Linked DNA regions of Rattus norvegicus. The protein of the gene in region 1 interacts with the protein of each later gene in a pairwise test. Links are inferred from orthologs where the notes say so. Each region holds a gene or a part of one and is shown in the gene's direction. Other genes may lie near its edges.

What was found.
Region 2: the proteins of Lonrf1 (region 1) and Crx interact in binary tests that used the Homo sapiens proteins (3 or more experiments, as listed by UniProt). The two-hybrid records come from large-scale screens. The link is inferred for Rattus norvegicus from reciprocal best matches to the Homo sapiens genes LONRF1 and CRX.

The regions. Positions count from the first base shown.
Region 1 is NC_086034.1:62,686,499-62,690,924, forward strand, and holds the start of Lonrf1 (LON peptidase N-terminal domain and RING finger protein 1), read left to right. Parts: upstream 1-1,432; 5' UTR 1,433-1,446; coding exon 1,447-2,242; intron 2,243-4,426.
Region 2 is NC_086019.1:85,678,996-85,683,352, reverse strand, and holds the start of Crx (cone-rod homeobox protein), read left to right. Parts: upstream 1-1,500; 5' UTR 1,501-1,564; intron 1,565-4,357. UniProt on the Homo sapiens protein: Transcription factor that binds and transactivates the sequence 5'-TAATC[CA]-3' which is found upstream of several photoreceptor-specific genes, including the opsin genes.

The DNA.
Region 1 (4,426 bases):
GCATTACTGCTGGAACAGGAACCTGGGATTTTGTTTTTGTATTTAAGTTAACTCTTCTTGCTCTCTCTCTTTGTTCCTGTCCCCCTTTCTTTTCTGAGGAAAGTTTGCTCATTGTTTAGTATAAAGACACTTTTGAACTGTTATTACCTATTCTGTGTAAGCAGGAACAATTAATTGTTAGACAATTTTAGACAGCATGACCTTTGACATTCCATCCAATTGCTTTATTTGAAGATCTCTGGTTAAAAATATTTGAAGATAATTTTATTAAACATTATATATATATATATATATATGATACTATCACTGTGAGATCTTAAAATCTTTTCAATACTGACTGTATGATTTCAGACTGAATTATTTCCTGTTATCAAGTATTTGAAAAAGAAGCCTTAAATCTCTTCCTACATTACCAACCCAGTACTCTGTAATCAAGTCTATAAATATTTCCATTGAGATACCTGATGCTTTCACATTTAGAGGAACTAGAACCCATTACATATGAGCCAAACTATCTTCAATCGACCAAGCTGCAGAACGCTTGCATCGTGGTGATCTGGTTTCTGCCACAGCGAAAATGTTTTTCTCCTGTTTTCTCATTTAAAAAACTTTAAGCAACTGTGGGTTAGTGTGTATGAAGGATGTGGAGCACACCTGAGGACATGGGGACTTTCACTCTCTAAGTGTACATGTGGTTTATTTAATAGTTTAATGTTTTTTGGTGTATTGCACTTTTAAAATTAAAGTTTACAAATCGCTCACAAAGTATTGGGTTTCTTTTGGACAGTTCGTTTCTGTCATTTTCTCTTAATAAACTTCATCACAAGTCAGCACTAACCAAGCACCAAGAAAAACTCTTGCGTGCTGGGAGGAAGTGGTCTCAGTAACATGAAATATGTGTGTCTAGAGTTGGCCGATTTCAGATTTGAGTCTCAAAGTAATCACACCGTGCATGTGCATTCGCAGTCCCTCTACTTGTTCTGGCCAGCAGAAACCCTGGGCATCCAGACCCACCCAAGGCTTCCATCTACGGCCAGGAGGGGTCTAAGTATCTACTCATGTGCGGCAGGTTTGGGGTCACAGCACTGCTGGTGCCCACACGAACAGCATAGCACCCACTATAGGCCTGGGGACCAGCCACGATTACAAGAGGTGTCAGCTCGCAGGCCGCCTGGGAGACTTCAGGCTTTGTTCAGTCAGGAGCCAAGCCTCCTTGTCAGAGAAGCCAATTAGATCCCCGCTGGGGATCATCTGATCTCGCGTCCCTCACCAGGAGGGGCTCAGAAAGGGTGGGACAGGCCGGCCAGCTCTCCGGTACTGGGCGGCCGGCCGCGTGTCGGGAGGCCGGGCGCGGAAGCCAAGGCCCGCCCCTCTCCGTCTCGCTAAGCTCCGCCCCTCTCCCCAGGCCCCGCCCCTAGGGGCTCCCCGGGCGCGCGCCGCCCCGCCATGTCCGCGCGCCACGCCCCCCTGCTCGCCGGCCGCGTGCGGAGCCGCGCGCCCCGGAGGTTCCCGGACCGTGGCGGCGGGCGGCGACGGAGGAGCAGCCCTGCGCGGGCCATGTCTTCTCCGGCCGTGGCGAGGGCGTCCCCGGGCGGGAATCGGGAGACGGCCGGCGGACCGCGGAGCCGGAACGGGCCGTGGGAAGTGGGCGGCGGCGAGCGGTTGGAGCGCGCGGGCGCGGAGCCGGGGCGCTGGGAGCTTCTGCTCCGCCGCGGCGAGCTGCTGGCGCTGGGCGGCCACCTGAAGGGAGCGCTGGAGGCGTTCGCGGCTGCGCTGCGCCGCGGGGCCCCGGCCAGGCCCGAGCGCCTCGGTTCGCTAGTGGACTGCCTGGTGTTCAGCTACCGGCTCCGTCACGGGCTGCGCTGGAGCGCGGCACCCGCCGCGGGCGCGGCCGGGCTGCTCAGCTGCCTGGGCTGCCGGGGCTTCCTAAGTGAGCCGGTGACCGTGCCGTGCGGCCACAGCTACTGTCGCCGTTGCCTACGGAGGGAACTGCGCGCCCGCTGCCGCCTGTGCCGGGACCGTCTGCCACCCGCCGCCGCCGCCTCCGAGGGGACCCCGCGGCCGCCGCCCCTGGCCGCCGCCATCGCCGACTTCCGAACCAGCGTCGTGCTCAACCACCTGGCGGAGAAGTGGTTCCCGGGCCAGCGCGAGCGCGCGCGGGCGGCCGGCCGCCTCGGGGAGCTACTACACGAAGGACGCTACCGGGAGGCCCTGGCCGCCGCCTGCGACGCTCTGCGAGCAGGTGATGCGGGGCTGCGGTGCGGGACTGGCGAGCGGGGATTGCGAGTGTGGGAGGGGGCGGCGCCCCGGGGTGCTTCGGTCACGGTGGGGATCGCCTGGGAGCCTCAAGTGACGCGGCGCAGGGAGGGGCGCGGATGCGAGGTTCCCTCGTGCGCGCGCCGAGCGGGGACCTGGGGCGGCGGAGCTTGGGCGCGGGGTGGGTGGGGGCCACAGGCTTCCCTCTGTGAGCTGGCTGGGAACCCCAGCCGGGGTGGGGCGAGCATCCCCGGGCTTGGCGGGGCTTGGGGGTACCGCGTCTACCTTGGTCATGCACTAAAGTCACCGGGGCAATTAGAAGCCGCGGGAGGGCAGAATTGCATAAGCTGGGTGGGGGGGCGTTGTGTAACGGGTGACGTTCGGTGGGCGTGGCGGGAGCCCGGCGCGGGCACCGGCACCCGGAGGCCCAGCGGCGGCCCAGCTCTGAGTTGGTGACCGGTTGCCCGCGAGGTGGTCACCTCTTCTTACCTAAAGGATCGCTTGCTCCAGGAACCTCCACCTGCCTATCTCACATTCTGCTTCCTTGGACCTCTGTGCGTGCTCCCACACATTCCTGGTGTTGGTAGAGAAGTAGCCTCCTATGACGAGTTTGCCTTACTCAGTGTAGACCTGTGAGGGGAAGCTTTGTAGGTCTTTTGCTTATATCCAAGAACAGCGTTGTCCAGTTTACTGGAGATGGCTTTTAGACTGCGGATAAAGGGGTCATTGTAAACTTAGTAAAGCCAAGAGTTCTTTAAATCCTCGAACTCGGTTGTTCTCTACTGAGGTGGTGGTGGTACTTACCTCCTAGAGATTTTTACATCAGGGACCCTTATCTAGTAAAGCATCTAGAGACATCTTTGAATGGCCACCTCTTGTAGAAGTCCTGTCAGTACAGACATCTAGTGGCCCGTCCAAGGATGTTGCTAAACATTCCTAAGCTCACAGCCACCTACGTGAAAGACTGATCAAGCCCAAATGTCAACTGTATCATAGTTGGTCACCTGGTGTTGGGCATGCTTTGTGTGTCTGTGGGCTGCCATGAGAAATTACATACAGTATTAATCCCCAGGAAATGAGTGACATTGGGAATTTGAACTGATTTTAGGTATTAGGTAAGTTATAAACTTGTAACTGAAATTATTACTTTGACTCTTTTAGTCATACTGAGGAAGTTGACAGTAGCTTCAGGCATACCCTTCTGGCACGTTTTCATCCTCTTCTGGCAGCTTCATGAGCAGGCACTCATAAACTAAAACGACAAACCCAGAGTGATAGAACACTTGGGGATGCACAGTTCTGCTGGGGATGACTCTGGATATCTGGGTGGATAAAGTTGAGTGGGGGAAGCTGGACCTGACTGATCATCCAGTATCAGGCTTCTGTCAGACCTTAAGGAGGAAGCAGAGACAGGGCAGGTGACTTAACAACAGTCACTTGGGTGGTGGCTTGTATAGGCAGCTTAGACCCTCCACTTCCCAACATTCTCTGCCCAGCATTGAGATCCTCGGGTCTACCAGGATATCATCTTGAACAGAAAAGGCTGCGAATGATGAATTCTGTCGCTTCCAAGCTTCATAGACCGCATGTGAGATTTGCCCACAGGCCACATAACCACACTTTTTTCAAGACTCGAATTCAAGTCTCTGGCCTTTCACTTTATTATGTTATAGGGTTTTTTTTTTCCTTATTCATAGGCTTGTCAGAAAAATCAGTAATTCTCCACCCGAATATGCATCTCAATGATACTAATGATGATATTTTTTTCTCTTGAATTCTTTGTGCGAGATAAAAAGAGAACAATTAAAGAGCCAAACATATTTTAGTTGGTCGGGGGCAAATGTGTATGTGTTTCATAATTTATGGGCATTAATAAGAGTGGGCGGATAGCTCAGGGGTAGCAAGCTCGCCTGGCATGCGCAGCGTTCTGCTTTGTATCCCTAGCCTTCCAAACAACCCACCACAGTGTGTCAGTTCTACTCTCGCAAATCTGTTTGTCCGGTTGTTAGGGTTAAGGTGTCTTGGAGTTGGCCAGTTTTGAGATAGGTAAGCATTTGAAATGCATTTGTATCATTGCTCAATTATAGTTATTAATGGCACTGTCTTCGTTGATCATGAAAAAAAAACCGCTGTAATTTTTCATGTTTCTTAGAATGAAACAAATATTATT
Region 2 (4,357 bases), on another chromosome or scaffold:
CAGAGGATGGCCTTGTTGGGCACCAATGGGAGGAGAAGCCCTTGGTCCTGCCAAAGCTGGATCCCCTGAGTGTAGAGGAATGTCAGAGTGGGGAGGCAGGAAGGGGAGGTGATTGGGGAGAAGGAACACCCTTACACAAGAAGGGGAGGGAGATGGGATAGAGGGCTTATGGATGGGAAACCGAGAGAGGGAATAACATTTGAAATGTAAATAAAAAATATCCAATAAAAAGCAAAACAACGGGCTGGAGAGATGGCTCAGTGGTTAAGAGCACTGACTGCTCTTCCAGAGGTCCTGAGTTCAAATCCCAGCAACCACATGGTGGCTCACAACCATCTGTAATGGGATCTGATGCCCTCTTCTGGTGTCTGAAGACAGCTACAATGTACTCATATATAAAAAGTAAATAAATCGGGGCTGGGGATTTAGCTCAGTGGTAGAGCACTTGCCTAGCAAGCGCAAGGCCCTGGGTTCGGTCCCCAGCTCCGGAAAAAAAAAAAAAGCAAAACAACAACAACAAAACCCAAATCTAAACAAAATAGACACAGAGAGACAGAGTCAGACACACAGAAACACTCAGAGATAAAAAGAGAGGAAGAGAGACAGGGAGGACAAGAACCAGAAGCAGAGTTTCAGAGAGACAGCCAGAGACAAGGATTAGAGTCTAGCAGAGACACAGGTGGAGATTGACAGAGACAGCCAGAGAGAGATTTAGAGACAGAGAGTCTAACAGAGACATAGAAACCCAGGGAGAGGCATAGACAGAGACACAAAGAAACTCTGAGAGACAGGGTCTGAGCTAGTGATGAAGATACAGAGGCAGAGATTAGAGGCAATTGAGAAGATACAAAGAGAGCAGTGGAGAGACTGCAGAGATATAGAGAGATGGAGTTGGAAACTGAGGGAGGGGAGGAAGGAGGGAGAGAGATGGAGAACACAGAGAAAGAGAGCCTGAGGTCAAAAGAAGGAGAACCATCAGGAACTACACATGTGAACTAGTTCACTCATCCAGAGTACAGATCTCTTCCCAGTTATTCTGGCTGTGTCAGGAGATTTACAAGTTCAACGCTAGCGTGGGCCACAAAGAACAACCCGGAAAGCCCTGTGCCTTTCTCTTCCCAGTCTCTCAGGAGCACTGTACACATTTCTCGGTGCTTTTGAAGACATTTCTTTCCAGATAATAGCTGATGCTGGAGGGACACCAGTTAGACCTAAGGAAAGACTTCCCCAGGAGTGGGGACTCCTGGTTGCCGGCAGGAGTTGGGCCTTCCTTCCCTCCCTTCCTCATCAACCCTAATTGCCAAGATGTCACTGTGGGGGTGGTGGCGGTGGATTAAGCAGACGGTGCCCTTCCCCCAGCCAATGTCACCTCCTGTTGCCCAGTCGGTCCCCCACCTTCCCTGGGATTACCCTTCGAGATCCAGGCCACAATAGATGACATCACTCTCAGCTCAGGCTTAAAGTCACCCCATGTGAGGGGACCTATTTCCTCTAGCCTCTGCTGTCTGATGACACCATCCAGGACCTGGGCATCCAGGAGAGCCCCCATTTCTTCTTTCCAAAGGTGAGTCTTTGCAGGAGAGGCTGAGTGGACCAGGAAGAGAGAGAGAGGGGGTGGGTGGGGGAGAGAGAGTGAGAACGAGAGAGCGAGAGAGAGCAAGAGAGCGAGAGAGCGAGAGAGCGAGAGAGAGGAGATTTTATTCTCACTCGTCCATGTTTTCTGGGCTTGGTATAGTTTGACACAAAGATGGATCTGTGATGCTTTCTGAATAAATTAAGGTAGGGTAGAGATTCCAGCAGGTGTTCAGGGAAACAGGCCACTTAGGACCATGGTTGGAGGGAGTTCAGAGGTGGAATGCACACATCCGTGTATGTGAGCATGTTTGTATGTTTGTGTGTGTATGTATGTATGTATGTATGTATGTATGTATGTATGTGTATATGTATGTATGTGTACAGCGTGTGTAAGTGTGTGCGTCCATGTAAGAGAGCATCTGTGGAGGACAGAGATAGACATATTGGGTGTCTTCCTAAATACTTCCCGTTTGCTATTTTTTCCTAGAACTCTCTATGTAGACCAGGCTGGCCTTGATCTGATGGATCTTCCTGACCCTGCCATCCAAGTACTTAAGGTTAAAGGTGTTCACCACCACACTCAGCCTATCTCAGACAATGTCTTTTACTGAACTTGGATCTCCCTTCTGAGCTGAGGCTGGCTGGACAGTGAGCCCTGTGTATCTGTTTGTCCCTGTTTCCCCAGCGCTGGGGTTATAGTGTGCCCAGCTTTTATCTGGATGCTGGGGATCTGAACTCAGATCCTTACATATGCACAGAAGGTGCTTTATGTACTAAGCCATCTCCCCACTCCCCCGCAACCTTTTAAATTTTATTTATTTATTTATTGAGAGGAAGTCTTATGGAGCATCGGGTGGTCTTGAACTTGTTCTGTAATAGAGGCTGGTCCTGAACTCCTGATCTTTGTACACCACTACTCCCACTTGTATTGTCTTTAACTCTTTGGGATTTTTCTTCTCTGTTTGTAAGGATATATATATATATATATATATATATATATATATATATATATATTATATATTATATAATATATACATTATATATCCTGTTGAGGCCAATGTGGCTAATTTCTGTTCAATGCCAGCTCAACATAGTAAACTGGAATTCTTTCTCTAAAGTTGAGAGCAGGGCTAATGTTTCTAAGAACTCAAGTTATAGATGTTGAGTTTTGAAGGGAAACACCAATATTACTAATTTTTTTGCCTCAATGACTGTAGAAACTTTTCTAGGGCCTGTGGTCATCCAAATGAAATTATAGAGACATGTGGCAGGGCATAGTGGTGTATGCCTTCAATCCTAGCATTCAGGAGGTAGAGGCAAGCAGATCTGTCAGCTTGAGGTCAGCCTGATCTACAGAGTAAGTTTTAGGTTAGCTAGGACTTCATAAACTTTATATCAAAGGGAGACCTTGTCTTAAAAAAAAATATGGGGAGTTGGATGGCTCAGTGGTTACGAGTACTGGCTGCTCTTCAGGAGGATTGGGGTTTTGATTCCAAGCACCTACATGGTGGCTCACAGCTGTTTGTAATTACAGTTCCAGGGTACTTTTCTGGCTTCTTCTGATGGTACCAGGTGTGTTTGTGTTCATAGAAATACATGCAGACAAAACACCCATACACATAATATTAAACAAAACACTAACACAATGAAAGTAAAAAAAAAAATCCTAGGAACACCAAAGTTCGATATTACTGCTGCATATTTCTCTCTCTCTCTCTCTCTCTCTCTCTCTCTCTCTTGTCACAGTCTTTTATAGCACATGCTGGCCTTGGATTTGCTATATAGCTGAGGATGACCTTGAACTTTTGATCCTTCTACTTCTACCTACAGAGTCCTAGGATTACAGGTGTGAGACTCATGTTACTGTTTCTTCTCGTGTGTGTGTATGTGTATGTGTGTAATATATGCATGGAAGTGTGTGTATCTATTTGAATATGCCTGCATATTTGGAGGCCAGAGGATAACATCAACGTTTTTTCTTCTATTCCTCCTCTGCCTTATTGCTTTGAGACAAGGTCTCTCAGTGAACTAGGCACAGGGCATTTTGACAAGGCTGGCTGCATAGCTAGCTCTTGAGACCCACCTGTTTCTACCCTTCTTAAGGCTATAGTTCCAGGCATACAAAGCCATGTCTGGCTTTTTACATGGTAGCTACAAATGTAAACACAGGTTCTCATGCTTTTGCACTTAGCACTCTTCTCTACTTAACCATTTCTACCATGCCCACCCCACCTCACTTTTGAGACAAGGGCTCATGTATCCCAGGGTAGCCTCTAACATGATAAGTAGCCTAGAATGTCATTGACCGCCCCCAGCCTCCATCATCTGAATTTTAGAATTACCGGTGTGTGCCACCATACCCAGTTTATGTGATATTGGGGATTGAACCCAGGGGCTTAATACATTCGAGGCAAGTACTGTAACCAGCTGACCTATACCCCAAGCTTCCCATTGTCATTGTTAGACAGAGTGTGCTTATGAATCCCAGGTTGGCTTTGAATTTGGATCAATCCTCCTGCCTCAGGCTATGAGTGGCATATGTGAGCAAGCCTCCACACCCAGATAGAGGGTGAGAAGGAGGGGCTGGAGAGATGGCCCAGTGGTTAAGAACACTGACTGCTTTCCTTGAGGTCCTGAGTTCAATTCCCAGCCATCACATCTGTAATGAGATTTGATGCTCTCTTCTGGTGTGTCTGAAGACAGCTGGCTGCAGTGCACTCCTATACATAAAATAAATAAATTAAAAAACAAAACAAAAAAACAAGAGAGGGAGGGGGAGTCA